Linked DNA regions of Lonchura striata. The protein of the gene in region 1 purifies or fractionates together with the protein of each later gene. This does not show direct contact. Links are inferred from orthologs where the notes say so. Each region holds a gene or a part of one and is shown in the gene's direction. Other genes may lie near its edges.

Region 1 (14,810 bases):
TTAAAAGTATCCTTAAAATAGTATTTTAAAAAAGTTCTAAAAGAACACAAACGCTACTGAACAGCTACCAAATGCTTTTTCTGAGTTTTCAGATTTAATACCACATGTCCACATTAAGTACCTCTTTAATATTTCAAGAATTTACTCTAAATTAGATTAGAGTTAAATGCACCAGGTTAAAAGCCCAAAATCAAACCAACCCACCACCACTGACCCAAACTCCAATACACCACATGGGATTTCTCTTATCTCTTTTAAAAGGCACCTCCCATTCTTCAATCTTAGGAAATGATGCATCTTTAAATATATGGTTATAACTGCACTTCAAAGATTTGTCTACAGGCATGATGTTACATTTCCAAACTTATGGTTTTACTGTGCAGACCAAGATACTTGATTCACTATTTTCTTTCCTGAACCTATCTAGAGAAGAATCCTTGTTCTTAGTGGCAGGCCACCAAAAAGCAAGGGCCTAATTTTGTGCTTTGCTGATGACGTTAGAAATCTACAAGCAAAAAACCTGTAGGATAAAGAATGCAAAGTTTTTAACCAGTTGTTTCACAATGGCTGCCTGCCTGACACACTCCAAAAGAAGTTAATCTTAGTACAAGTGCTCTACTGGGAATCTGAGAAAAGGAAAGACACATGGTCACAGCCCACATGTATTTTACATAAACACAAACTAAGAATCTTGTACAACAGTCTTAATGACTACTCTTGTTTGAACAATCATTGTGCAGACCCATATAACCACTGCATATAGACCGTGCTATACTTTATCAGAAATTGAGTAAAGAACACTTGGCCTCCAGTGAGAGGCCTGATCTCACATTAAGCATCAGGCTTTTATATATTAATTTAAAAAACTTTGGAAACTCTGCCCTCAGGAAGAAAAAGTTCAACAAAGGTCACCCTTCCAGAAAGAATTTTAAAGATGCGTTTGTGAGTTCCACATTAGTTCTCAATCTGGCTGGTTTTAAAATGTACTTATATTAATAGCAGAAATTTAACTTCAATGTTCCGCAAGTAGCTGAGGCCAGCAGACACAGCTGGGCTCAACCATGAAATGCTCATCACCACCAATGAATTCAGTTTAGACAATGCCTTAGCCCAGGGGTGCCAGATCTAAGAATGTGCAGTCTACCAGAATCCATTCAGCTCACAGCTCAATCCTGTTTCCATACACAGGGAAGTAAATACAATTTATTCCAGCAATTTAAAGCAGTTACCTGACTAGTTTAAAGTTCCCTTTGGTGCCAGGAATATCTGTAGGGAACTCATCTGGGGTGCTACTTCCACAGGATCGGTAGCACTCTGGTCGAGAGCAGCTTGGGTCATCCAGCTTGTAAATCTGTGATTATTTAAAGTTGAAAAAAGGTTTAATTCCTCAAGGGTTAGTTACCTGTAATCTTTCATCTCCCCTGAAATATATTAGCAACATAGCTGCTATATTTACAGTGATGACTCACCTTTGCATTAGCATAACCCAGCTTGATTGTGATATTTCTTTCCAGTTCATTTTTAAATCTGACAGTATGAACTCCAGATATAGCTTTGACTACTGTTGACTTTCCATGGGCTACATGACCAATTGTACCTGTGTTTTAAAAGGAAATGTTTGTCAATAAACCACAGTTTAATTCTGTGCAAAGCTCCACTACAATCAGTACAAAATTACCCCAAATTCTTCACAGGCAGTAAGTTCATATGGCATACATATATAATTTGTAATAATTTTTATTGAAACAAACAAGACCTGAAATTGTGCTCCCAATGGACAGATCTTTGCATTTGAATGAAAGTCATTTCAATCCTTTATTTCAAGGTAAAATAAATTTTGCTTTAGCAACTATTCCCCATACCATTCAACTGTGCTCCTAAAATAAAACTGGTGCTTTATAAATCAAAAGCGCTTGACAAGTCCCTAAAACTACTATGTTTTGTTTCTGTACATATTTCTTGAAAGTATTACCACACAGGCACCATCTGCTACTGCACCAGCATCAAAAAGAGACACCTTAACACGCCCCTCTTTTTCATAAGGTTTTTTTTTACCTATATTAATTGTTGCTTGTCTGCTGATGACTTCTGGTGAAAGTGGCGTCAACTTGGTAACATCCTGTATAAGGGAGATTTTTAAATTTATTCATCTTGTATATAAATGTTTAGCAAGTTAAAAATTTAGAAACTTGAAGGTCAACTGATAGTTCTATTCAGCAAAATCCAGTTATACTATGTGCATTCCAGTCTTTTAAAAGTGTGAAATCCATGTGAAAAGTGATCCAAGTCTTGCTTGTGAATCAATACAGGCTACAATTCAAAATCCTGACTGTGAAACAGTCTTGTCTGCAAAGTGTTAAAGATGGGAGTAAACAAAACAAGAAACCTCAAAAGAAAATTTTAACAAAAGACCCCAATCCCCTACATACCCCTGAACCTAAATTACACATAACAGGCAAATTCATTTTCAACAGTCTACATGATGAACTGCACTAATATTTTATAAACAAAGCTTTGTCAATAAACAGTTGTTTAATTGGTTCCATTAAGCCAATCCATAATTACAACTAGGAGTCAGTGGGTCCAGAGGTTTCATTAGCACCATGGCTTTTTTTTCTTTTTAATGGTTATTTTTTCCCTCGGGTACTGTTATTGCTGCTTTAGGTACCAGACAAAAATTCTGCTGTCCTAAGTAGTCTGTTGTGTGAACTTATTGGTAGCCACCGGCAAAACAAAAACCTCACAAATAAACTCTGTATAGATAAAGAAACAACTCTGAAAGAGTTGCTTAGGTTTTTTCAAAGCTGTTTGTCCAAATAATGGACAACTGCTGAAATCCACTGAAATGTTCTGTAAAGCTAATATCCATCCTGCATCGAATTCACATGGATGAGCTACTCAGTTCAAGCAGAGACATGATGTCAGAAGAGTCCTCAGTGCAGGACAAAATTTAAGATATAAATAATACAAACATTAAATCACATATTGTTTACACTGTTACATGAAAGTTCTGTGCAAAATGATCAAACACATCTGTGTAAAAACATAAGCTCAGTCATTCTGCTCTCAAGTATGACATTAATAAAATGTTCATCTTCAATACAAAGCAAGTTTTGAACATCTAAGACACACAACTAAATTTATATTTCTCATATATGGAACTTAAAATGACTTCCCAGCGATGGGAACGTGACCTGCAGATGGCACCATGTAGCCGGGCGACCAGAATTTCAGCGTGATGCAATTCCTGCCACCAGGAGAATTCTTCCTGGTGCATGAAATCGTGCACGCGTGCAGTTTTTTCCTCAAGACTGGTACAAGGGTATTGCTCAGCAAGAAGCTTCACTCAGCCGTAAGCACTCAAGGGCCGCCAGAATAAGCCTTTAAAGGTAATTCCTGCTGACCTTCCAGCTAGTCTCTATCTGTGCCTTTCCCAACTAGGAAATGCCATGGTCAACAATGACAGGAAGAAAAGAAACCATCTGAAATAACTAACACACTGCCGTAGGGAATTCCTGTGCTCAAGCCCAAAGAACATAAAATATTATTACTGTTAAGACAAATAAGTTGTTCCAGTTTAAACACAGGAGACACAGCAACAGGATTTTTGACTATGTACATTACAATACACTTGAATTAGAAATATACATTACATATACATTTAGACTAGCATATAAGTGTAATAGGTGAGGCAGCTCAGGTGAGACATTTAACAGGCAAGGCTGCCACAGCAGGTGACCACTGCAACTGGTTGAAGTGGTAGCTGCAGTGGTAGGTAGATCTGGTATTTCTCGGCAGTTTTTAATAGTCAAGAAAGTTGTCTTGGCAAACCAAGACAGGGCTAATAGACAACTCCTAGAACTTGCTGTAGAGAAACGGCTCAAATTTATGGTTCTATCTCAGAAAGGGAAAAATCTTTAATACGACAGAACAGGGCAACTCTTACTCGAGGAAAACTGCACCCACCAGTGAGCCATAAAAGCTTCAGCGGCGCCGGCGGGACACGGAGCCGCGGAGCCTTATGCTCACCGGGAGGAGAAGCACCTCGCCCGGGCGCCCCACACCCGCCAGGACCGGCGGGACCTGCTCTGCGCGCCGCCGCTCTGCCCTCGACCCGCGGCCCCTGCCCTCGGCCGCCGCTCTGCCCTCGACCCGCGTCCCCCTGCCCTCGACCCGCGTCCCCCTGCCCTCGGCCCGCGTCCCCCTGCCCTCGCCGCGGCCCCTGCTGCCCAGCGTGCTGAGCTCGGCTCCCCGGGCGCCGCCGCCTCCCGCGCCCCCTCGGCACGCATCGGCAGCGGTGGGGCCCGGCAGAAGGCTCCCAGCTCCTGGGGCCGCACCCCTCGCCCACACGCCCGCCCCCTCCGCTCCCGGGGCGCCCCCGCCGAGCTCCGGGAGCCCGATCTCGCTGCTGGGCGCCCCACGAGCGGCGCTCACCAAGGTGCCGAGATCCTGCCGGCTGAGGTGCGGCTGCCCCAGAGTCACTCCCGCCTCGTCCCCCGCCATCTTGCCCCGAGTAGGAAGTGAGGAGCCCACGCGGCCGCCTGACTGCCGGCTCCTCTCCGCACAGCCGCTGCCGGCCCGCAACCTCCGGCCCACAGCGCGGCACCGGCCGGCCCGGGAGCGGACACCGAGCTCAAGGAAAAGCCGCGATCAGCGCCGGGGGGCCGCCATCTGCCCCGCAGCGGAGCGGCCACGAGTCAGGCGCACCAACGGGCAGCCCTGTAAAGGACCCCCCAGCACGGTCGCCATCACGCCGGATGATGCAACCGGGGCCTGCGGCGGGGCCTCGCAGCGTGCGCGCGCACGGCGCGGGAGCGCGGGCACGGCGCGGCGGCGGGAGCGCGGCGGGACGGGCGCCGCGCAAACCCCGCCGGAGCGGAGCGAAACAGCGCCGTGCCTGCGGGGAGGGCTCGCTGAAAGACACACCGAAGGCAGGAGCCCCTGCCGTGCTCGGGGTTTGTTGCTGTGCGGATTTATTTGGGGTGCCCGGGGGTGCGGTGCAGAAGGCACGATATCTGTGTATGCACTGAAATGAGCGCATCGACCGCGGTGCCTGCTTCAACAGTAACAGGTCACCGCACGTGTGTCAGAACCTCTGCTGGCCATCGCCGTGAGGAGATCTTTCTTATTTTAGCTTTTTTCTTGTTACTGTCTTTGTAGACTGGGCGCTTATTGTTAGGGAAGGCATGTGGATGTGAGAGTTGCCCCAACATACCTAAATGTTTTGTACGAAACAGGTAAAAATCCCACCAAACACTTGCTGTTCCCAGAGTTGGGTATGACATAAATTGAATAAAATCCCTAATCCAGTGATGAGAGCCAGTTTAGAGGTTCACCAGAGAGTAAAGGTTAAATTTCCCTGTTCTTCATGGGAACCTCTTAAAGGCATAGAAGATGTTGCTGATAGTATTTCCTCCCTGGTCAGGGAAGCAGGTTTCAATGCAGGTAACCAGTTATCTCAAATATGTGTGCGTTGTGCCAACAACAGCAGCTTTATCTGTTGGAATACACATTTGTTCTCAGACTCTGCCTGGCTTTGCAGGTCAAAAAAAGCAGGTTTGGGGCAGGCAACCATGTGACTGAAATGTGATGATGGAAATCCGTGTGAAACTGGTATGCCTGGTTGAACAATGGTTGTAACCTCCCACTTTCACCTATGATATTATTTCCATACTTTCCTGATACAAGATCTAGGAGTGAGTTCTGATGGGTATTTGTAGAGCAAACACATTGCCACAATGTTCTTGATCTGAAGAAATTAACAGGAGCACATTGTAAGAAACCTTTCAGTATCTATGATGGTATTGCCAATGACAAAATGTATTTTGTCTTGCAACCCAGTCGTGTTGGACAATGGTCTGGAAAATAAATTTTCATAATCTTGTTTCAGGCCACACGGTGTTTTCAATTTTGTATTAAATATCTCACTTCTGGGAAAAACCACTGAAATACATGAGGTGTAGTGAGAACATGATGCAATACTTGGTTGTAGTTGCCTCGATGTTCACACATGTATAATCCCTCTTTTATGAAAATGAACTGAAAGTGCTGGACTCTGTAGTTACTTAGCTGCTTAAATTATGCAATAAATGCAGTGCAGTGTGTGTAAAATTATGGAAATAGTTTTTGTCACATTTGAAACAGCCTTTAAAAAGGACTCAATCCTTGTCAAACACCCTGTCAGGAATATGAAAAAAACTACGCAAACTGTTGCTTCTATTTTAACATTGAGATTGTACATTTTACATATTCTGAGGTTCTCTTGCTATTTTGATTCACTTATTTGGAAATGTTTGTAATATAAAGAAAAGCAGAAAAGTCTAAAGTCTGTAAATGTCTAATTATTGTAGGATCCTAGAATGGTTTATGTTGTAAGGGACCTCAAAGATCATCGAGTTCAAATCTTCCTGCCATGGGCAGAAACATCTTTCACTATCCCAGGCTGCTCAGAGCCCCGTCCAGCCTGGCCTTGAACACTTCCAGGGATGGGGCAACCACAGCTTCTCTGAGTAACCTGTGCCAGTGCTTCACCCTCACAGTAAAGAGTTTCTTCCTAGCACCTAATCTAAATCTGCCCTCTTTCAGTTTAAAGCCATTCTGCCTTGTTCTGTTACTCCATGCCCTTGTGAAAAGTCCATTTTCTAGCCTTTTGGGCCCCCTTTAAGCACTGAATGCTTCTATAAGGTTTACTCAGAGCTTTCTCTTCTCCAGGCTGAACAACCCCAACTAAAATAGGTAAGAACATTTCTAGGAGTTGACATTATGTCATATGTCAATATATGTGTATTGGACATTTATGTATTAATTAAATAAAGTTTAAAAATATTAGAATTAGATCCTAAGTAGCATATTAATATAGCTCAAAAAAACTACATCCAGAATTCTCTTCATCGCAATAGTCTTATTTAAGCTAGTGGTAACTGTTTAGCCACTGACTTTGTACAAATGCCTAAATCAGAGGGGTCAACCCAAATCTCAAATTAATATTCAGTAAGGTAATTTTGAGACTAGTGGTCATTGTCAGAGGCCTAAATGTAATTATTTAATTTTTTTAGGAGACTAGAATTGAGACATTATTAACATATTTGATTTTTTGGTAGAAGCAAATTGTTCAATGTGAAGGAGAAGGGTATGAGAGGGTTTTTTTGTGCTTTGAAATGTTGAGCTGTTTTAAATGTCAAAGCTGCTATGGTTTTGTTTTGTGGCTAGGTTTGAGGTCCTCTTCTGTGATTCTGTGACAAGTGTGTAGGAGAGACCTGAAGACCATCTTGCACCTCAGCTTGACACAAACTGCAGACAGCAAAATGACAGTCAGGTAAAACATAAAAGTCTTGCTTAGCTTTTTCTGCCCTTGCTGACCCATGAAGGTGAAAAGTCTGAGGGGTGCAGAAGTATGCATGAAGTTTTGGTTGTATCATTTCTGTATATGAGAAACTTAGTTCCTACTCATTTTTCTTTGTTGAAGCATTAGATATGGGTGGGTACATGTTTGCTGCAGCAGATATCCATTATGGAAAAGGGAGGGAATGTCTTGGAGACATAGGTGGCAGGAACACCTGCTGTCTCGGCAGGGTCAGTCTGTAAAGGCCAGTTTTTTCACCATAAACACACAAGTAACAGGTTTTAAAACAGTGACTGGGGAGATTGGGTAAATTTACTGCATGAGTGAATGAGACGGAGTAGTAAGGCAAAGCCGAGAGAGGTCTGGCCATTGTGATGAAGGAGTGAATGGGAACTTGATCGTAGCAGAGGGAGCAGTAGGTAGGCAGTTGAGGGGAGTGGGAATAGCATTGGGAAGTCTTTTGTAAGGCACCACATGGAGTAGCTGATTCATTTCTTGAAGCTGTGAAAGGTGGGAAAGGCATTCAGCTTGGGGGTAGCAGGTATAGAGAAGGTACTCTTGTTTTATAAATCAAGAATGGGGGGGGGGTGATAATGAGAGACTGAAAATAGGATGGGAACAGCAGTAAACAGGGAGAGGATGCCAGCCTGTGGCCTGCTATTTATATGGTTTGGGGGTGGTAGTGGCAAACCAAAGGTCCACGTAGGTTAGTTCATCTCGTACAATGAAATCTGAGTTTGCCAGGCAAAGGCAAAATAGCGAAAGCTAAGGAGTACTGTTTGTACTAAGGCAGAGCCCTGCTCACCCCCTCGGGGCCGTGCTCCCTGTGTGCAGTTTGTTCGCTGCTCCAGCGCTGCCGGCCCTGACCCCTGCGGCTCTGGTGACCCGGTTCCCACGGCGGCTCGCAAAGCCGCCTGCGGGAGCGGAGAGCTGGCATCAGCCCGCGGGAGCGGCTGGCCGCTGTCCGGGGAGGAGCGCAGCCGGCAGCCGGCCCCGAGCGGCGATTGCTGTACCCGGGGCGGGATGCAGCGCTGCAGCGGGCAGCTGCCATAGCAACCTGGGAGCTGCCATCGCCTCGGAGAGCTCGGCCGCAGCCTGGAGGCAGCGGGGCGGGCGAGAGCAGCGCAAGACCGACCCTCTGAAAGCGGACGCGTGTGGATGCGCGTCCTCGCGGGCCGGACGCAGATGATGCCTCTCGGTGTCGCGTTCTCCAGCCGTGCTCCCCGGGACGTGCCGGGGCTCCGGCGCCTGGCCGAGCCCGCACGGGCCGGAGCCGGGGTGCCGGTGCTGGTGCCGGTGCCGGGGTGCCGGTGCCGGGGTGCCGGTGCCGGGGTGCCGGTGCCGGAGCCGGGGTGCCGGAGCCGGGGTGCCGGTGCCGGGGTGCCGGTGCCGGGGTGCCGGAGCCGTTCCTCGCCCCGGGCCCGCCCGCGCGGCCGCAGGTGCGGCGGAAGTGACGGCCGGCGCGGTGCTGCCGGGGGAACATGGCGCCCGCGGCCGCGCGGGGCAGCGCGGAAGGTAAACAAGCGTGAGGGCGGCGGGGACCCCGGGGCCGAAGCCGGGCCGGGCGCGCCGGTGCCCGGGCGGCGCGGCGGGGGCGGCTCCCACCGCCCCCCCCGAGCGCGGACGGCGGGGAGGAGGGAGCCCAGGATCCCCCCTTCTTCCTCCGCCTCCTTCTCCTCCTCCTCCCGGCTTCGCCTCAGCCATTGCCCCTCTCCGCAGCCCCCCGGCGCCTCCCTCCGCCGCCCCCGGCTGTATGGTACACGGAGCCAGGGCCCCTCTCCGCCGCTCCAGCGGGAGGAGCCGCGTCCTCAGCGCCGCCGCCGCCGAGAGGTGGGTGAAGGATCCCGCGGGCCCTCCCGCCGCCGTCGCTCGCCCCATCGAGGGCGGCCCGGGCGCCCTCCGGGCCCTCGGGGTCTCTCCTCCCCGGGGCGGCGGGCGGGGAGCAGGCGGGCTGGCGCGGGATCGGGCACGGCCGCGCCGGGCGGGGCGGGGCGGCCGCAGCCCCGCCGGGCCCCTCGGGCTCCCGCGGCCGCACGTCGCGGAGCCGGCCCGCCAGCCCCGCTCGCCGGGGAGCTCAGCCTGCGAGCGTGCGAGCCGGCAGGCTGAAGTAGGTCATCTGAGTTCCTGCCCCGAAAATGGCCATTTTTACCCGCCCCCCTCCCCCATCGTACCTGATCGCGGCAAAAGTATCCGTGATCTGAACGGGTAGAGCTACCCAGATGATACTAGAGCTTTGATGTGTTTGGTGAATACTGGAATGTCACTTAAAAATTTGAACTCCTTGCCTTTTCATTGTTTGGGGTTTGGGTTTTTCTATTCTAATTTAGAAAATAAATAGGAGAATTATAAAGTTATTACTAGATAAAAGGACAGAACTACTGAAGTCTGGCTTCCTGTGGACTTGTTATATAAACTTGTCTGTAGAATAACCCAGCTCTTGCACCACCATTGCCCCAGTTCACATTCAGATCCCCTGAGAATACCACCATGCACAACACATACTTCCTGTGTTTTCCCTTCCATCACCTAGAAAACGTGTTTAATTTCTACCACATGTCCTATAAACTTTCCACTGACACTCATCTCCTTTCACTTTCCTTAATTATACCCTGTGGCTGGTTTGGATCTACACATGTGTTGATTTGCCTTTCAGTGAGCAGAGCACAGCAGATAACCATTGAGCTCACACTAGAGATATCAGACCTTTTTCATTCATCTAGCTGCCAGTCTGGGGGATATGTGTAGAAATAAAATAGGTTTGAGATTTCTGTGTTTCTGACAAGTGAGTTTGGTATTTGGTAGTAAGGTCAAAACCTGTGTGTCTTGAACAAAGGGCACAATTAATGTCATTTTCTCAGAAGATGCTAGGAGTACATACTAAATTAGCAATAAAGATACATATAACAAAAAGACAAATGGAGGGCATAGTTTAGCAATCCTAATTTAAATTTAAAATATTTTTACTAACATAGTTTGAATACTACTTCTTACTCCTTTCTATCTTATTACGCTAAAAATTTATGATAAGTCAGAAAAGATAGGATTTTTTGTTACTAACAGATACTTAGCTTGCTACTTTTCTGTATAAAATACACTACAATTTTCTTAATAAAAATCTTCACAGTGACAGAATCAGCCTTTATTCATACCTTTTTCTTACATTCGAAATCGTTACTCATTCTATAAGACAGATATATATATATGTATGTGTATATATATGTAAGAAGGACTGCTGTCATTCAGGATAGAGCAGTCCTGTCCACTTTGAGAGCAATGGCAAATCTGTACTTTTCAACACTACTATAATTTAACTTTTAGTAATATCTAAAAGTTAAATACAAGTATTTCCACTTAAAAGGTAATTCTCATTTTGGTGGATATATCAACTGTTTTATACAGTGCACCTGTTCTGGCAGAGCGTTGAGCTGAGCTTGCTCTGTGTTTGGGAGCAGGTTTTTCTGTGCACGCGTTGGGATGCAGTGACTTCTTAGACAGGTGGTTCAAGCCATCTTAGTGTCTGTGAAGTGCAGTTACAGGTTCTGGCACACGTAGAGTGAAGAGTAACCATGCTGAGCTGAGGCACAATCCATGCTGAGTTTTAGCAGGTTTGGTTGTAACTGGTTCTGGTATTTTTGACATGGCTGTAATGACCATAATGACACCAAGTGCCGCTGCTGCTCTGTGCTAATTCAGATTGTTCCCAGATAGCAACAGGAGCAGAGATTGTCGAGGGAGCTGTTCTGGTCAGCTCTGTGTCCCTAAGAAATGGAGTCTGGGCAGCTTTCAGGATTAGCCAAATTTTAAGTTCTGGCAGTCTGGTTCCTCTGACTGGTGGTGATTGGTAAGCTCCTAACTTCTCCATTCTCAAGTAATCCAGTGCTTTTGAAATTCTCAAGATGGATTGGATGAAGTCTTAAACATGAACATAAGAATGGGTTGAAGATAAATGGTTTCCCAAATTTAGTGTCCTAATTACAAAGGATTTCAGATAAAACACATGGAAAGTGGATGTATTTCTTTGTTCCCTACGTTGCAATTGTTGTAGCAATAGAAAGTTTTGATAGCCACTGGTTATTGATCTATCCCACATGATATCACTCCTTCTGTTGCTGTTAGTGGAGGATTATGATAAAAAATTGACAAAATTTAATGGTTTTAGTTTTAAACCATGTAAACAAAGGTTTAATTCGGGGGATAAATTATTTATGCTGTGTATGTTATAATTGTACTGTTACTCAGTACATTGCATTCAAAGGCCCAGCCTTTGGCCATATGTGCAGTTGTGAATGTGTGCTAGTGTGTTCAAATACTTGTATTTTCATATGTGTGTATAACATTTGACTATGGAGAAATGTCCTTATTAACAAAACTAGGCTCAAAATATTCTGCTCTAGGCAGCCTTTCCTTTGCACCTGATCAAATAAAGTGTGCATGATGGCTTTAAAAATTACATTTAAATGCATGCATTTGGTGGATGGAAGAGATTATTTTGTTTAAAGCTCTATTTTAGTACATTGTGTAACCAAAGCATGGTTCTGTGTGTCTATTGAAATATCTTTATAGTGTAACTCATAGATAATAGTGTTTTATTATGTGAAAATTTGTTGTTCAGCTTGTCCACAAAGATGATTTCTTAGAATATCTATGGGATAGGTAAAATGAACAAGTACTCCATAATTAGTAAACAAAACAAATCTTGCTCATTCTATCTCAGCATCCCAGATAAATTACTAAGGAACAACAGTAAAGGAAGTCTGAAATTTCGCTTTGAGATCGTGTGGTAGACCTGGTATTGTCAATACTTTCCTAGGACAATAAATTTCTATCCCTAGAAAATGCATATAAGCTTACATATGACATAAAGACACATATTGAAAAGGCTCTTTTTCAGGTAGTACTGGTCTTGGAGAGATTTTAAATCCAGGAGGGCTTGAGTCAAAAGCATTTATTCTGTGACTTGTTTCTCAATAACCAGTGCATTTAGACTCCATTTCTTCTGCTTGTGACTAAGAGCCTCAGACACCCTGAGGAAAGAAGGTTCTCCTTGTTTAGCAAGAAAAAGCAGTCTAGAGTAGGATTTTCAGACTTTCATTACAGCTGCAGAATAAAAATGAGAAATCAGTGTTCCAAGTAAGTGGTTTTACAGTTAGAGCACTGTAGAATCTAATGCATTATGTGCTTAAAGAGGAAAAAATGTAAGGAGCAGCTAATAAGGTTAAATGTATTTCTCTTTTGGCTTTTCAGCAGAGTCTTCCTGTGCTGCATTATCCTGATCAGCTCTAATACGTGCAGAACAGTAACGAATGTCAATGTACATTGCCCCCCACCTCCCCTTCATTGTTTATACATTGGATTTTTTTTGTTCCAGTTTTCCTGTAGACCACTGCAGGCTTCATGTCTTCCATTGGATTAAGTGTGCAGCTGTGATTTGCATGCATGAAGAAGATCGAACTGAATTTTCCATTTTTATTGAAAATATGGAAAAAAATGTTATGTATTGTCCTCTGGGAAATAACTGCAGCATTTGAATAGTGCTTAGAATTACATCAAAGATTGCAAGTATGTGTGTGGGAGGAATGGCATAGCTATGCTTTAGAAAAATTACTTGGTTTGAGAGTTATTTTGTATTGCTTTTTTTAATGTTTGAACTACCACATTGCTATTTGCTTTTGACAGAGGATGTTAGCTTTAGAAATGAAGATTTTTGCCAGTTAAGCATAATACGCATTTAATTATCTACTTTCACAGTTTTTGTACTATTTTAACCCCTTTGTTTATTTGTACTGGCAATACATTTTTTTGTTTTAAAGAAAAACTTATCTGCTGATAATGTACATGGCTTTATGCCAAGAAAAGGATATTTACTCCTTTTATTTAATGCAGGAAGACAAGTAGTCCTTTTGCTTTTCACTCATGGAATTCTGAAGCTTCTTTAGATGGTGTAGGGAGAAGTCTTACTGGTTTTGTGTCTAAGTAATCCATTAAATGCTCACTGCTGTTCAGGAGGAAAAATACGTTAATGTTGAAAACTGTCGATTTACTAAAAGTAATGTCAGCAGGAATGTGAAAAGAAGGATTAAGTGATTTAAACACCTACATTTTTAAAACATTCAGAAATAATAATTTCAAAGTGTTGACTCCTTTCGTACTGTTACGGAGATTTGTGGCTGACTTGGTGGTTTAAATATTTTTTATGGAATAGCTAGTTGTAAGGAGATGTAAAAATTGGAACTCTAAAGGGTACCTAAATACAGGTAGGTTTCATTTCTCAGTATTTCAGTGATTGCTGCCTTGTCAGATTTAAAATTCAAAGGATAATAATATATATTTATTTTTTGGTGTTTGTATATTTGTCTTATTTCTATTTAATCAGAATTAAAAAGAAGGTTGCAAAAAAACCCCTACATGGTTGCAGTGTCTGTGCAACAGCAACACAATCACAGATTCACAGACGAGTTGAGGTTATAAAGGACCTCTGAAGGTCATCTGTGCCACCTGCAGGGCCACCTAGAGCCAGTTGCCCAGGACTCTTTGGTGATGGTTTGGTTGAGGGTTTTTTGTGTTGTGTTGTGTTTGTTTTGCATTTGGAGTTTTTGTTTGATTGTGTTGAGTATTATTTACTTGTTTTCCTCCTTAAAAGCAATACTGGAGGTGCATATACCATGTCTCCACTTCACTTCCAGCTTTTCCTTTCTGCTTCTTCGAGGGTAGTAAAAGAGGCCTTTCTTTTAGGGCCATCTTGTGTACAAGTTAATTTTTCTCCTTTTATTTGAGGAGTACCCATAATGTAATTACCTTTGTCAAGGTAAGGGCAAGGATCCTGCTGTGTGTTTGGAGCTTGCTGCTGTGGTTTTTCAGTGCTGTTAGGTACACAGTAATGCACATAATCTTTTGAAGAACTCCCTTCAGTAGTATTACCTGTGTGATGGGAGATCCCACTATTTCCAGATGAATATATAATTGCTTCTGTCAGTTGGGGAATGTTGCTTAATTTTTTACTTTTTCTCCCCTGATACATTGTTGTGTTATTCTGTTCTCACTTTCACATTTTCAAATTCCAACTGTCCTTTCCTATATTTAACCCTGATCATGGAACTGATGCTGAGCCAAGTCTTAGTTGGTCTCCTAAAGCTCTGTAATTTACACAGTAGTACTGTCTGAGAGTCCTTGTAACACTGAGTCTCTTGGCTGATTCCAGACAGCAGTGAGTTAAGTCGCTGTATGTTCTATGAAAATGAGTGGCCCATTTAAAGGCAAGTGATCATTAAATAGTTTGAACAGGAAGGACTAAGGTATGAGTTCAGCTATTATTAAATATCAGAGAACAGGGGATGGGAGGAAAGGAATTCCAGTGCTCTGATGAAAAAAGGAAGTAAGCTAATACTGGTCCTTACCTTTTTATTTGATACCAGAAATCCAGTTAGAAAACAAAATCCTGTGACGTCAGACCTTATGCTTCCTCTTCAGT
Region 2 (14,954 bases), on another chromosome or scaffold:
CGCAGGGCGAGCACCGGCCCTTCCCGCCGCCGGTAACGGCCGCTCCCGCGCGCGCCACCGCCCCCTCCCGCCGCCATGCGTGTGTGCGCGCGCCTGCCCGTCACCTCCGCTCACCGGCTGGGCCGCGCCGGCCGCGCCAACCAGGAAGCCGCAGCTGCGGTGCCGCTCTGGCCCCGCCGCCCTCGGGGCCGCTCCCCGCCGCTGCCGGTCCCCGCCGCCGCCGGTGCCGGTCCCCGCCGCCCGGACTGCCGCGGCCGCAGCGCCCGGCGCCTTTAACACCGCCCTCCGCCCCACGTGACCGCGGCCCCCGGCCCCTCCGGCCCGGCTCCGCCCTCGCTGCCCATTGGCCCGCCCGCCGGGGCAGGGGGCGGGGCCGCGCCGCCATTGGGCAACGCCGAGCACGGAGCCGGGCCAGGCCCCGCCCCCGCGCGGGCAGCGCGCCGGAGAACCACGTGCGCGCCGGGGGAGGGACCGCACCGGGACGGCTCCGGGACGGCACCGGCACCGGCACCGCACCGGCACCGCACCGGGACGGCACCGGCACGGCTCCGGGACGGCACCGGCACCGCACCGGCACCGCACCGGGACGGCTCCGGGACGGCACCGGCACCGCACCGGGACGGCACCGGCACCGCACCGGCACCGCACCGGCACGGCTCCGGGACGGCACCGGCACCGCACCGGCACCGCACCGGGACGGCTCCGGGACGGCACCGGCACCGCACCGGGACGGCACCGCACCGGCACCGCACCGCACCGCACCGGCACGGCTCCGGCACGAGAATGGCATGGCCTGGCACCGGCACGGCATGGCCCAATGTGGGCTCTGCTCTAGTGTGGCACGGGCACAGCCCAGCACGTGTGAGGGCTCAGGCTGGGCTCCAGCACAGCCTGACACAGTTTGGCATGGATGTGGGGATCCGTGTGGGTCTGGCCCACATGTGGAACAGTTCTGCTCAGCTCCAGCATGACCAGCCTCTGCCAGGCACAGCAACAGTGCTGCACCAGCTCAGGCGGGCACTGAGCTGCTGAGCGCTGGGCTGGCACTCCAGTGTGCCTCAGTCCCATGCCAGTTTGAACTGGCAGCAGGCATGGGCCTTGTGCCTGCACTGATTGGGACCAGCACCAACCCAGGGGCTCCCACCGGCCTCAGCAACCACACGTAGGGACTGAAACCAGCAGCCACCAGCATCCAGCTGAGTGGTGGCAGGTCAGGGGATCCTGCAAGATCCCAGGAGGTTCCCGGGAGGTACTGCAGGGTCCCCCCAGCACGTCCAGCCTGGGTGACACAGGCAGGGGTGAGCCCCTCCAGTGTGCAGCCATCTGTGCACGCGTGTGCACATCACACGCGAGGGGCATGCGTGTGCCCTGAACAGGGGGAGCGCCGGTGCCCGTTCCCATCTCGGGGTGATCATTGCCCAGCAGGAACCACGGCTCAGTGGTCAGAGGCCACGGGCAGCCCCAGGGCAGGGGTTGGCCGGCACGGGAAGCTGGGGTGTCTGGCCAGGGGTTGTGCCGCCCCACGGGTCAGTGGCTGAGGGCTGGCCACGGCCGGGCCATCGCGTCACGGGGACGCTAGTGACAAGGGCTTGCAGATGGCACCGGGTACGGGGGGAAGTGGCCAGGGTGCCCCAGCCCTGCTGCATGGCTGCCCCTGCGTCACCCGGCCAGAGTCCGTCCTGTGTCCCCATGGGCCCTGTGTCCCAGGCCACGTGCAGCACTGGGTGCACAGAGCCACAGCACAGCCCGGGCTGGGCCTGGGGGCTAAGGAGGGACGTGTACCTGGAGCCTGGGGACCCCTTGCCACTCTCAGCTCGCCAAAGCATTAGCAGGGGATGACCCCATGCCTTTCCCCTGTCCCCACTCCGCATTCCTGTAACCACTGGGTGTCCCAGTCTGCCCTAGGTGTGTGAAGTGAGGAAGAAACTGGCAGGAGTCTGGATGAAGCTGCTAGGATCCATGTTCTGGGCCCCCAGATCCCATAACCCTGTATCCCAAAGCTGAGAAGGGATCCAGGTGTGTCTACACCCCTGCAGGGGTGGGGGCAGGTCTGGGGAGCAGTGCTGGGCATAGAGGGTGAAGGAACGGGTACGTGGGGTGCAGCGCTGAGTGTGTGGGATGCACCAGACATGGGGCACGGCACAAAGTGTGCAGGTGTGTGGCCAAGTGTGGAAGGGTATGGCAGTGAGCCTTGCAGAGGGTACAGAGCCTTGCACATGGGGAGCAGCATTGATCACAGAGCTGAATGGATGGGGCGCAGGGCCACGGATATCCTGGGAAGGAGCAGGCCCTTCGAGATGCCCCCAGGACACTGCAGGATCCCAGCACTGGGAGGGGATCCTTAGACCTTTGTCAGCTTCACTGCTACAGTGATCCCCACCCCTGAGCAGTGGGACTGTGACACTGGAGGCACTTAAAGCAGTGAGGCAGCATCTGGGAGCTGCTGGGAAACGCCCCGGGAAACACTCCAGCCTGTAGCCGTCTCACCTACAAACTACATCCCCCCGCCCCAGTAACACCAGTAAGTCTGTAACTCCTGCACTGGGTGCCTTTGATGGATGCTGAGTGTGTCCTGAAGTCCACCTGCTTGGCATCACCACTCCCAGTCCTGGTGCTGGCTTTGACCTGCAGGTCCCTGCACGTGCCCTGGTGTTCAGCAGCATCACTGGGCATCCCAACACTCATTGGCACACTCTGGACCTCTTAAGTGTCACCAGCACTCCGAAACCCCCAGCACCGAAGCTGTTGGTGTCTCTGCCTACCTGGGCTCCACTCCTGACTGATCCTCTTATTTCATGTTGTCCTACTCGGTTGTTAATTGGTAATAAATTAAAATTAATTTTCCTGAGTCAAGTGTTTTGCCCATGACTTAACTATTGAGTGATCTCTCTCTTCTAACCTCACCCTAAAAGTTGTTTCACTGCTCTCACCCCTGCCACACGTGCCTACATGGCCCCTCTCTGTGTCACCAACTGGGCACCGTAAGTGTGGTCATGTTCCATGAGAACTTACACGATGCAGATTCATGAATAGTTTGGTTTGTTGGAGCAACAGAAAAGCAGGTTCAGAATAAATGCACGAAGCACTGAGTGTTAATATGTCATGACAAAAGGTATAGAACAGAATAAAGCATTCCGGGGTCTGTGTGTTGCTGGAGGCTGGGAAGCACCCAGAAGCACTCTGGACAGCAGCCAGACACAAGGGTCCTGTGGCAGAGCTCCACAGGGACACCTGCACAGGCAGCCCACCTTTTCCTGGTGTTCCAGTAAGCTGGGATGGAAAAAGCCCTGTCAAGGTCAGCCCCAGCTCACTCATCCAGCTCCTTTCCTTGCCATGCATTTCCCCAGGAGATCCTGCCCAAGCATATGAAACAATCTCACCTGCATGGGAGACCTCTTCCACTCACTGTGTGCTGGTGGATCACTGGCAAAGGTATTAGTGAAAACAAACCTGAATCACATTGTGGGTAAGGTTGAAAGCGACAACAGTGGGATCATCTGGTCCCACCTCCCTCCTCAAGCAAGGTCATCTGCAGCACATTGCACAGAATTGTGTCCAGACAGTCCTGGAATATCACAAGTGGGTGAGATCCACAACCTGGGCAACCTGTTCCAGTGCGTGGTCACCTGCATAGAGAGGTTCTTTCTCATGTTCAGGTGGAATTAATGTGAATTTGCAAAAACACAACAAAAGGTCATGTCCAGGGTCACTGTATTGCTTACAGCATGGATAATACATGTAGTGAAAATCAAATTAGAATCAATTTGAATCAGTAGCATCATGGGGCTCCCCGCACCCCCCTCAGTACCCAGGGGACCCCTAGGCCCTGCAGTGGGCACCCATGTGAGTTTGCTTCCAGTACAACACAATTGATTTTGCTGCTGGTCTTTATTTAAAAATACAAATATTCTCCAAATATTCTGCTGGGTTCTGGCTGGCTGGCTCAGGCACCTGCGAGGTGCCTGTGGACAGAGGAAGCTGCTAAAGTGTGGCAGGCTGGGTGTGAGGGTGTGGAGCAGTGCTGGGCACCCCGTGGGCCGTGGGCACCACTGGGGAGCTCTGGGCAGAGCACCGAGTGCCAGCTGACAGCACCACAGTGACTTACTGGGCACCCAGAGCTCCAAACACCTCATGCCACCCAATACTGCTTCGGCAGCTCCCCTCCGCCCCGCCAACTCACTTTCTCCTCTTCCTCCACACATGGAACACACAACACAGCACCATTCCCAGCAGCATTGAGCCAAGGACCGCCACGATGCCTTCAATGCAGAACTTCTGGAAAGAATTAGCATCCACAGCGTCTGTGTTTGCCCTGCCCAGCACCGTGTTTGGGTCTGCCCTGCTATCCGCAGCGGTCGGCTCTGCCCCGGTGCTCCCAGCACTGGCAGATCTCCTGCTGACAGCGCTGTTGAGGTTCAGGCTGTTCACACCTGGAGGACCAATTGTGCACGTTAGCATGTCCTGCACACATCTGGCAATCTCGCTGGAGGGCTGGCATTGCCAAGAAATGTTCTTTCTCACTTCACTAGCAGCTCTGAACAAGGGAATATCCTGTGGTAACATTTCCACGGCTTCAGTAGAAACCAAGGGAACTCCCAAAGGCCTTGCAAGTCCCCACTCTCTGGACCCTCTCTCTCCTCTCAGATTTGCTTACACTTTGGAGTAGCCTTAATCCAGTTCTTCCAGTGTCTGCCTTTGCTCCCTGCTCCTGGGGATTCTTCCCATGCGCCCACAATTTCTGTTGTGCTCTGGCCAGGGATGATCTGACTGGGCAAACACAGTCCCCCAGGACTCAGCTGGAGACACAACTGGCAGTACGGACTCTGGACCACCCTTGCAGCTCAGCATGACAGGGAGAGTCCCTCAGTGAGGGTCTGGTGTGTGTGGGGGGGGTGCTATGGTGTGCCCCTACATGCACCTGAAACCTCAGCTGCCCGATTGTGTTGGGCAGGGGTGACCTGTACCCACCTCCTAGTATCATCCTCAGCTTCCTCAGGATTTCATGTAGCAGTTTGGATGTCTCCACAGAAGATTGTCCCCTTTCATCTTGATACTCTGGACCTTGATGCAAAGAATAAAGTTGCATTTTGCCCCCAGCAAACCCTGGAAGCAGCCCTCAGGCCATGCAGTCGGTCAGGACTGACGAATGACTCCTAAAGTGCCAGGGGAGTTCCAGTGCAGAGTCCAGCCCAGAAGTTGGGAAAGCCCTGCCTGTGCCCACAGCTGCAACCAGACCACACAAGGAGCTCCTCTCATACCCTGGAGCACCATCGGTCCTGACAGAACAACAGAACAGGGAAGAGGCTCACGGAAGAACACAGCACACCCAGGCTTTGCTCCCTGTCCCTAGGGATCCTTCACATTTGTCCACAACTCCTCTTGCACTTGCCCATCTTTCCCTTTCAGGGCTCAGCAGGTGCTGCCCTGGATGGAGACTGATGCTGAAGGATACAGCTGTCCCCACGGACAGGACCCCGGGGGCTGGACAGAGAGCTTGGAGGGAGCACAACTGTCTGACCAGCCAGCCCTTGGAGTCAGGTGGACAAAACCCATTCCTGTGTCAAGGTGAGCCACCTGCAGCTCTCCCTCCCCAGCCCATCACCCACACCCCCAAGGGGATACAGTCAGGCCCTCTGGGGAGATACCTGAACTTCCCTCTCCCTTGCTGCCTTTTCTGCAGTACGGACAGCATTTGCCTGCCCCCAGTTTTCAGGACTTGTCTCCCACTTACAACCCGTGGCAGGACTGCTCCGTGCCTGGATAATTTTGAAAGCATTCCTATATCCTGGACGAGGGCCTTCCCCAGGGTTGGCCAGCACTGACAGGGATCAGGGAAAAGTAAACGCTCAGCATGGCTCAGGCACAGAGTTTGCAGGAGGATGATGTAGGGTGCCCCTCAGCCATGCCGATCTGAGAGTGCACCCCTCTGGAGCCTGGTTCTGAGGAGGGATCGCCCCTTGTTGTGTCAGGGCCTCCAGGGTCTCACAGCAAGGCCTGGCATGCAGGTGCTGGGGCAGGGACATTAAATCCAGAGTCACATTTCCCATAATTTGCTGAGGGCTGCCCAGGTGGCCTCATTTCCAAAAGAACTAAGTTCTGAAATCCCTGAGAAGGGAGTGTGAGAGCTGGTGAGCATCCTGTTGCATCCACAGAGTGTCTGAGCGTGTGTGCCTGGGACAGGAACAGCAAGAGCCTGCAGCCCAGAGGTGACAGTCACCGCAGAGCTGCTGCTGGCACTGGCAGCTTGGCACGGGGCAGAGCCTGCAGCCAGCCGGGGCTGAGCGGCCAAAGGACAGCGACGACCCACACACCTGAGTGAAAGGCCCCGGTGCTTTGCCCAGGGCCTGGCACCGCCTGACCGCCTTCCTGAAGCGCCTCCTCCTGCGCCGCCATACGCTCCAGAGCTTGGGAGAGAAAGAGTGCCAGGTGAATTGCCAGTCACAAAGAGTGCCAGGTGAATTGCCAGTCACAAAAAGTGCCAGGTGAATTGCAACTCAGAAAGAGTGCCAGGTGAATTGCCAGTCACAAAAAGTGCCAGGTGAATTGCCAGTCACAAAGAGTGCCAGGTGAATTCCGAGTCACAAACAGTGTCTGGTGAATTCCGAGTCACTGCTGCTCCTCAGATCTGTCAGAGCTGCGTGCTGGCCCTGGCCTGCCCACCTACCCATGGCCTGTGCTTGCCACGGAGCAGCCCCAGCGTGTCGGGCTGGCAGGGCCACCAGGAGCAGGGTGAGAGTCAGGGCCCAGCGTGCCTGCACCATGATGCAGCTGCTGCTGCTGCAGCCCGCAACGCCCGACCTGCACTGCGCATCTGCAGGGCTGGGCTCTGCAGCTCCACAGGCACTTTGTGACCTCATGGGGCCTTCTACCAGCAACGTTCTGCCATCTCCAGGGTGGGCACAAGTGTTCCCCAGCTGCTGGTGACCGGTCAAGCAGAGCTACCAGATTCAGCCCTTCCCCAGTGTGGAAACCCAGGGCACCGGGACGATTCCACCAGGAATGTTTCTCTGGCTGCTCTGGGGTGTCCTGACCCCCAGGGCAGCACTGACTTTGACCCTCACTCATGGAGAAAACTTCCAAAGCCTCAAGGTTAACCAGAAACCACAAAAGTGTGAAATAGATTGTAGAGAGTAGTGGAGTATGTCACACGGGTGAGAATCTTAGCTTTTAGGACTTTTAATATGTTATAGATGGGTTCAAGATGGAGGATATAGGGTGTTGTCTCGAGTTCATTTTACTTCCTTCCTCTTCCTTCATCTTCTTGGGTTTAGGTGGTATCTTGTAATTGGGTAGAAAAATCCACATTTTGAATTGGAAAATGTGGATCTTTAGGGCTCAGTTATTGGGTTGGAAAGGAAAATCATTTATGTGTCACTTCTTAATTGGGTAGCTTAGTTTTTGATTAGACTTAAAAGGCCTTGTAACAAGAGATCGTTGGCCATTTTTGTGCTGTTTTTTGTGCATGCAGAGTGTGGTGCAGACAGCGTGCTGAAGTTTTGATAAGATAACAGTAAACAGAAGCTGAAGAACCAAAAAAGTCCAATGCATCCCTCCTGACACAGAACTGCTCCAGGTGGGTCTCCCCTGCCAGGGGAGCCCAGGGAGTTGCCCAAGTTGGGGCTCACAAACTCACAGCCCAGCACACACAGGGTTCTCTGGAGAGCTGCTCTAGTAAACTCTGCAGAGACCACCTGGGACTTTACAGAGCAAATCCCAGTGCTCCTGGAAGTGCATGATGGCATCAGGCAGCTGCTGGTGTGGACCTGCCCTGAACTTGGACCAAACACTTCCTGGAGTTCCCCTGGAGGAGTCAAGTCAGGAGCTGGGGATTATCTCAAAGCCTTTGTGCCCCACATCATCCTCAACAAGGACTGTCAGCTGGCACATGGAGCTGTTCGCTTACTTTGCCCCTCATGGAGTAAGGAGCATCCTCAGGAAAGCAAATAGAACTTGTGGGCTGAGATAAAAAACATTTAATAATTGAAATACAGTAAAATAATAATAACAAATTTTAAAAAAGGAGGGAGAGAACACCCAAGAAAACAAGTGATGCACATTACAACTGCTCCCCAATGCCACAGCAGCCCCCAAACCCCTGTGAGCCCTTTGTTCCGGGTACTCCCTCACACTGGGCACAGGGCACGCCTTGGCCAGTTCAGCTGTGCCAGCCGTTCTTTAGGGCACCTCCTCCCTGGCACAGCACCGAGACACAGAAAATTCCTTGGCTCAGGGCAAGCAGCGCCGTGGGGCCACCTCTCCTGTCTCCTGCGGGATTTGCTGCCCATCCCACAGGCCCAGAGCACCACTGCAGGGCTGCCCTGGCCACCAGCACCCCCCGTGCCTGGCACAGGGCCGGGGGACATGGGCAGCGCCCGGCACGGCCCCGGGAGCGGCCCCGGGAGCGGCCCCGGGAGCGGCCCCGGGAGCGGCCCCGGCACGGCCCCGGGAGCGGCCCCGGGAGCGGCAGCGGCGGCGGGGCTCGGGCGCCTCCTGCAGGCCCCGAGCGGCACCTGCAGCCGCGCCCCCCGCGCGGGCAGAGCCGGGAACGGCGAGGGGAGGGGGAGCCGGAGGCACGGGGGACACGGAGAGCGCGGGCAGCGGGGCACCGGGGACATGGCGCCGCGGGGTTCGGGCGTCCGCTGCTGCTCGGGGCGGCGGGAGGTCCCAGCGGTGCCACCGGGGGACCGGGAGCGCCTCGGAACCCGCAGCGGGCGGGAGGGGCCTGCCGGGCGGGCGGAACAGAAGCGCGCCGGGCGGGTTCCGGGCGGACCGGAAGCGCGGCCGATCCCGTTGCCGTGACAGCGGGCCCGGGCCGCCATGGAGGCCGCGCTCACTGACATGTACGACCAGGCGCTGCTGGGCATCCTGCAGCACGTCGGCAACGTCGAGGAGTTCCTGCGCATCCTCTTCGGCTTCCTCTACCGCAAGACCGACTTCTACCGGCTGCTCCTGCGGCCCGGGGACCGCCTGGGCTTCCCGCCCGGCGCGGCGCAGGCCATGGCCCTGCAGGTACCAGCGGGGCGCGACGCGGCCGGGCCTTGCTGCCGCGGGCCGAGCGAACGGGCCGTGTCTTCCCGGCTGCGCGGTGCTCGTGTCGGGCCGGCGGCGGGGTTCGTGCGGGCAGGGCGGGGGTCGGCGTTGCCCGGAGGAGCGCAGAGCAAGGCAGGAGAGGTGCCTTGAAGCGGGGGAAAGCGTCGCCCTCGTAAGAAGACGGGAAGCCCCCGAGGCAGGCGAGGACTGCGAGACCCCGGTGGGAAGAGCCGGGTTCGACATCAGCTCGGACGTTGGCCCGAGCTTGGGTTCGTGTCTGGTGTACCCTGAAGAGTTTTTGGTATGGGCAGAGTGAAGGAGATGCAGCGTTCCTGCCGTGGGAAGGGGTTAGTGTGGCCTCCTGGCTGCAACCAGAGGTTCCCCGAGTGTGGGGACGGTGTGCAAGGGGCTCATTCCTCCTCATCCTTGCCCAGCTGCAGTCCGGGGGATGCACTTCTGAGCTACTGCTTTGCATGATCCACGCAGGGCTGGTGCTCACCTCTCCCACACCCTCCCCTCTGCTCAGTGCGTGGGGAGGAGAGCTGGAGTGAGTGGCACGAGTGTGTGTCCTGTTGTGATGGTGCTGGCAGGGCCATGTCCTTTGTCCTGCACCTCCTGGACCCAGAGGAAGACTCAAATCGAGCAGGTGTGCCAGTCCGCTGCTGGAAGTACTAAATCTGCCTCCAGAATGTTCCTGGGAAACGAAGGAGGGCATTTTAGAAGGTGTTTACAGTGCCAAAGGCTAGCACTGGGGTGGGAGACCTTGCAGGCCGTTCAGGAGGCAGCTGCAGGGTCTCAGTGGCCATCACCCCTTGCTGCAAGGGCCTCACGTCTGACCTCCAGCCTGCACTGGACAGGCATGGCTGGGAGCCAGGTGAGGGGTAGGGTTACATCTCCTGGATCACATCTGCTCCTGCACCTGTCTGCCTGGACACAGCCAGTGCCAGGTCAGCTGTCCTGCAGCTTCTCTTGGGGCAGCTCATCCTGCTTGCCTCTTGGAGACACTGTCTGAGACCAGGCATGCGAGTGGTCCCTGTGTGAGCCCTGGAATGTGGGGAAAGGGAGGCTTCATTGGAGCTCCCTCCCAGCCGAGGGCTGAATCTCACCACTCTGCTTCTCCCTGGAGTAACCAGCCCTCTTGCCAGGCTAGGGTGAGGTTGGCTCTGAGAATACAATCCTAGAAACAATTCCAAAATGCTGCCAGGAGTTTCTGAGGTGTGCTTGATGTAGCCATTGGAGTTTTCAAAGAGTCATCAGCTGTTTGTTTTGGTGACTGAAGCAGCTCGGGGTAGGTATGTGGTGCAGAGAGGAAAGAGCAGGTGCCCCAGGCGTGTGGTGCTGCTCATTCCCTTCTCTGGGCAGAGCTGGAGCGCTGCTCACTGGGTTTGCTCTTTCTCTCCCAGGCATTCCGAGTGTTTGAACGGATGGCCAGGCAGGATGATGAGAAGAGGCGCCGGGAGCTGGAGGCGAAGCTGAGGAAGAAGGAGGAGGAGGAGGAGGCAGCTGCAGCCGCTGAGAGGGTGAAGCTGTGTCCTGCAGCTCAGGAGATCGAGGTGGAGACAACGGAGCACATCCCAGCTCCAGAAGCTGGGGAAGCTGAAGGCACCCAGGAAGCAGCTGCAGCCCAGGGTGCTGCAGCCCCCAGCCCAGGGTCAGTGGAGCCTCCAGGGGCTGCTGCCCCAGCAGAGCTGCCCACGTAAGAGTCTCTTACTTTCTTCACACTCCTGGTGGGGGGAGGCAAAACTGTGGACAGGGCATCCTCTGTTCTCTGCACAGCTCTTTTTGGGTTTTGACCTTCCTCTGCAGGCACTCAGCCTTTCGGGAGGCTGTGAGGATTACCCTTGCAGGCTTCCAAGGCCAGAAGCACTGTGTAACTCCCCACAGGAGGGCAGTAGTTGTTGTCCTGTGGGTGGATCAGCGTTTCCCACTCTGGTCTGAGCAGAGGAGGTGGCATATCCTGTACATGGCCCTACAAAGCTGGGCTGGGCCATGCAGCTCATCCACAAACTGGTTATGGTGTGCATTTTTCCTTTTCTGGCACTTCTAAGGCTCACAAGGAAGTGCTGGCACCAGCCTGCAACCTTTTTGTGAGTGCTGGACTCCCTGGCGTGCTGGGAGACATCCCAGAAGCTGTATGGGAGTGTGCATGGATACCTGCAGTACCTGCAAGTTGGTGCTGGGAGTGTGCACAGATACCTGCGAGTTGGTCTGTGAGTATGCATGAATACCTGCGAGTTGGTCTGTGAGTGTGCATGAATACCTGCAGTACCTGCCAGCTGGTGCTGGCAGGCCTGGCCTGTGACAGGGGTTTGGAGCCCTCTCGAGGTCTCTGACCCAGCCCTTGGCTCAGAGCAGGGCCAGCTTTGAAGATGAAGCTGATTTTTCTCTTTAGCTAGGCGTGGTGGCTTTCCAGCAGTGCCAAGCAGGCTGCATTTGTGCAGAAATGTCATTGAGTCAAAGTCCTTCCACAGCTTCTGGGACACTTCTAGCCTGACTCTGCTGAGCAGCAAGATGCGAGCTGCGGAGGGTCAGCGTGGCCTCTCTGAGCCATGTACTTGAATGCAGGTCCTGTACAGGCTTCACTCGTCCTTCCCTGGCATCACCTTGACCCTGAGCCAAGTCAGAGCTGCCCAGCCCTTACTCAGGGCCCTCATGCCTCACTGAGGTTCAGACTCCCGTGTTTCTTTGCTGACCAAGCTGGGGGAGTGGTGCTGTGAGCTGGCTGTGCAGGCTCCATCTCCTCCCGTGCCCGGTGTGTTCTGTGCTCAGGCCCCGTGTGACGGCTGTGCCGACCCTCTCCGATCACCACAATGGTCCTGACCAGATGTGGGGCTTTGCTGCGCCTCATCCCTGCTGTCCCACTGGTGCTTGGTGAGGAGGGAAGCTGGAGCTGGTGATCCCTGTCCTCCCAGCCAGTTTTGGAGGTGTCATTGGGAAGAGCAAGCTGCCAGAAAGAAGTGGACCACTGAAAGAACCCCAAATCCTGTAAGGACTGGGATGGCTGATGCCCCTGAGGGGCAGAGAGAATTCAGAGCTCAGATTTTGGGGCATATTCTGTATGCCTCAGCATATGGGAGGTACAGTCTGAGAACCAAAATCTTGGGAGGAGCAAAATGATAAATGGCAGGAGCAGAGAGGTTTGGTTCTTTCCTCAGGAGATGGCTGGGCACTCAAACAGGCTCTGTGGTCGTGGCTTCAAGGCTGCCAGAGGTCAAGGAGCATTTGGACAATGCTCTCGAGCAAATGGTGGGATTGTTGAGGTTGCCCTGTGCAAGGCCAGGAGTTGGACTTGATGATGCTCGTGAGTGCCTTCCAGCTCAGAATATTCCGTGATTCCATTATTCTAGGACAACGGTGGAGTCAGGTTCTTGGCTGGAGGCCGTGTTGGAGAAGAGCCTGAGCTCTGGCTGTGCTGGGGAAGAGCCTTAGATTGGCCACCACTGGGGAGGGGGAAGGGGGACCGGCAAGGACTTACGTGTAACTGGTGTGCATCCCACGCGGTAAAGATAAGCCAGGAGCCAAAAATGAAATCATCTGCAATGCCTGTCTTGGAGCTCTCTTGGTAAAGGTGGGGCTGCCAGTCTGACCCCGATCCCTGGGCAAAATTAGCAAGTCAAAGAAAACCCCTGCTAGAGTGCACAGCAGGGGCCTGGGTCTGTCCAGCCCAGCTGTCTCCCAGTGGAGAAGAGAGGGAGAGATTGGAGGCCCATGAAGCCGTGAGCAGAGGGATCTGGGCTCGGCTGAGTGCCAGTTGCTCATATCCCCATGGAGGCCACGTTTGCTGTGGTTTGCCCCATGAAGTTTCACCTCAGGACTTTGGTTATGGGGCAGCAGCTGGTGTGAGGAGAGTTCAGCTGCCTGAAACAAATGTCAGCGCTGCGGGAAGGAAACTGGAGGGATCAGGAAGGAAGGTGGGGGGCTCGTGTGGGAGCAGGATCAGTCTGACAGCGAGTGTGGTGGAGCTGAGAGGAATGGTTTCCACTGTGTGTGGTGAGAACCTGATTAGAACTCAACCCTTGCATGTGCCACCCTCTGTGTCCTGGCACTGCTGGAGCTTGGCCCCTGTCAAACCTCAGACACTCAGATGCTGTTTTGCAGCCTGCAGCTGTGGCACTGAGCACCAAGCACTGCATGGCAGCTGTCCTCTGGGTGTTGCCGTGAATAGAAGGTGCCTTCTGCTGCATATAGCTGCCACTGCAACTTCTGCCCTCCCCAGTGGGCTCTTCTGCCTCTTCTCTTGCTGCTCCCACCGCCCCAAACTCACTGGTGGGGTGGAACAGCTGCAGCCGCCTTGGTGCCTGCCCAGTTTAAACACGTGGTGGGTGAGACCGGGTGCAGGAGGCTCCGTCCCAGCCGCATGAGTCTCGTGGTTTCCAGCCAGGGGAATGGGGTGGCTGCGGGCTGGAAGTGGGGCAGGTTTGGCCCGGGTTCGTCAAGGCGCTGCAGTTGGTTTCCGAGCCTGTGGGGGGCACTGGAGCCCCCAGGAAGGCAGCGGGGGCCGGGCGGGCACCCCCCGACAGACTATTAATAATTTAACCAACTGCTTAATTCTCCACAGCCCCTTCCTTCTGAGTAAAACCCGGAGCTACCAGCCTGAGTACGAGGGGCGCATGAGTAATGCACAACTCTGGCAGCAGGAATGCAGAAAAGAGCTTAAACAAAAATATTTTCCATCTCCCCTTCCTTCTCCCCGCCCCTCCAGCCGCTGGTGAAGAAAACCGCTGCCACTAAAATCTATATAAAAACTTGCTCATTCTGTCAACCTGACGGCTCTGGAAATGTAGGGCAGGTACCATCCCAGATCTGCCAGCTCCCATCAGAGCCTCGCGCTGCACCCGGATGCTGGGGTATTGGTTGGGAACATCTTACAAAGCACAGTGAGATGGTAGCAGCTTTTCGAGGGTTGATCCAGATGAATCAAGCCAGTTTTGCAGATGTGGAGGTTTTCAGGGCTCAATTTGGGGCTTGGCCAGGTCTCTCCAACTCCCTCACCTTCCCCACTTGTGAAAGGCAGGTGAATCAATTCCTCTTTGCTGCCCTGCATCTTGCTGTGCCAGATCTCCCAGCAGCAGCTGGTCTAAACACACCGAGGACGGAGGTGGCTTTGGAGTGACACTCATGCCAGGAGCTGTGCCAAGGGGGACAGAGGTCTCTGTGCCACAGAAGAAGCCAGGCTCCTCTTGCAGCTGCCCCAGTTGTTCCAGCTGTCCCTCCCCAGTGGTTGCAGCTATCTTGCTGTCCCTGCCTTGCCAGGAGGGTAGCAGGCCACAGCCCTCCTCACACTTCACCACGGGGCTGTTCTTCCTCGCGGTGCAGCTGCACAGTCCCAGCTCTGGCTCTTCCCCCATCTGCTCCCAGAAGCCATCCTTGCCTGAGCTCAGCTCCTAATTTTGAACACCTCTGCTGCCCAGCACCCTCCCCTTCCCCCAGCTTGGATTCCATCCTGCATATATTTGCCACACAGCATTTAAAATAGAGCCTGGCAGCCCACGTGTGGCACTGCGCAGCCCGGCCTGTGCTTGTGCTTTATGACTTTGGTTCCTGGCTTCCCTCTGCTCCTTGCTTTCTCCCAGTGTGAACTGGGGGGGAAGCTCTCATCCCCCTGTCCTGTGAGTCCCGTCTCTTACTCCATGCATGGGCAAGAGATAGTGCAGGAGGCTGGGAAAGGCAGTCCTGAAGCCTGTGCATGATGGTGAATGTCTCACCTTCATGTGTTTCTCCATCCAGCTCTTGTGTCTCTCCCAGGTGCTCCAGCCATGTGTGCTCAGCTCTGGTCTGTACCTTAGAGATCATCTAGGCAGGTGAGGTCTCTGAGAGGAGGATCTTTGGGTGTGGACGGCACAGCCAGGGCTGGAAGCAGGGCCACTGGGGCATGGAACAGCGTGCCAGGTGGACCCAGGAGGATGGGCAAGTGCCTCATGCCT

What was found.
Region 2: the proteins of KLHL15 (region 1) and NUDCD3 purify together in Homo sapiens (co-immunoprecipitation; 3 studies listed by BioGRID and IntAct, with this or other methods). This does not show direct contact. The link is inferred for Lonchura striata from reciprocal best matches to the Homo sapiens genes KLHL15 and NUDCD3.

The regions. Positions count from the first base shown.
Region 1 is NC_134604.1:103,846,988-103,861,797, reverse strand, and holds the start of KLHL15 (kelch-like protein 15), read left to right. Parts: upstream 1-8,765; 5' UTR 8,766-8,857; intron 8,858-9,061; exon of another isoform or gene 9,062-9,172; intron 9,173-14,810. Other genes in the region: EIF2S3 (eukaryotic translation initiation factor 2 subunit 3), read right to left, coding at 1,230-1,351, 1,470-1,597, 2,056-2,119, 4,435-4,503. UniProt on the Homo sapiens protein: Substrate-specific adapter for CUL3 E3 ubiquitin-protein ligase complex.
Region 2 is NC_134634.1:5,381,625-5,396,578, reverse strand, and holds the start of NUDCD3 (nudC domain-containing protein 3), read left to right. Parts: upstream 1-8,741; 5' UTR 8,742-8,817; coding exon 8,818-9,009; intron 9,010-10,433; coding exon 10,434-10,726; intron 10,727-14,954.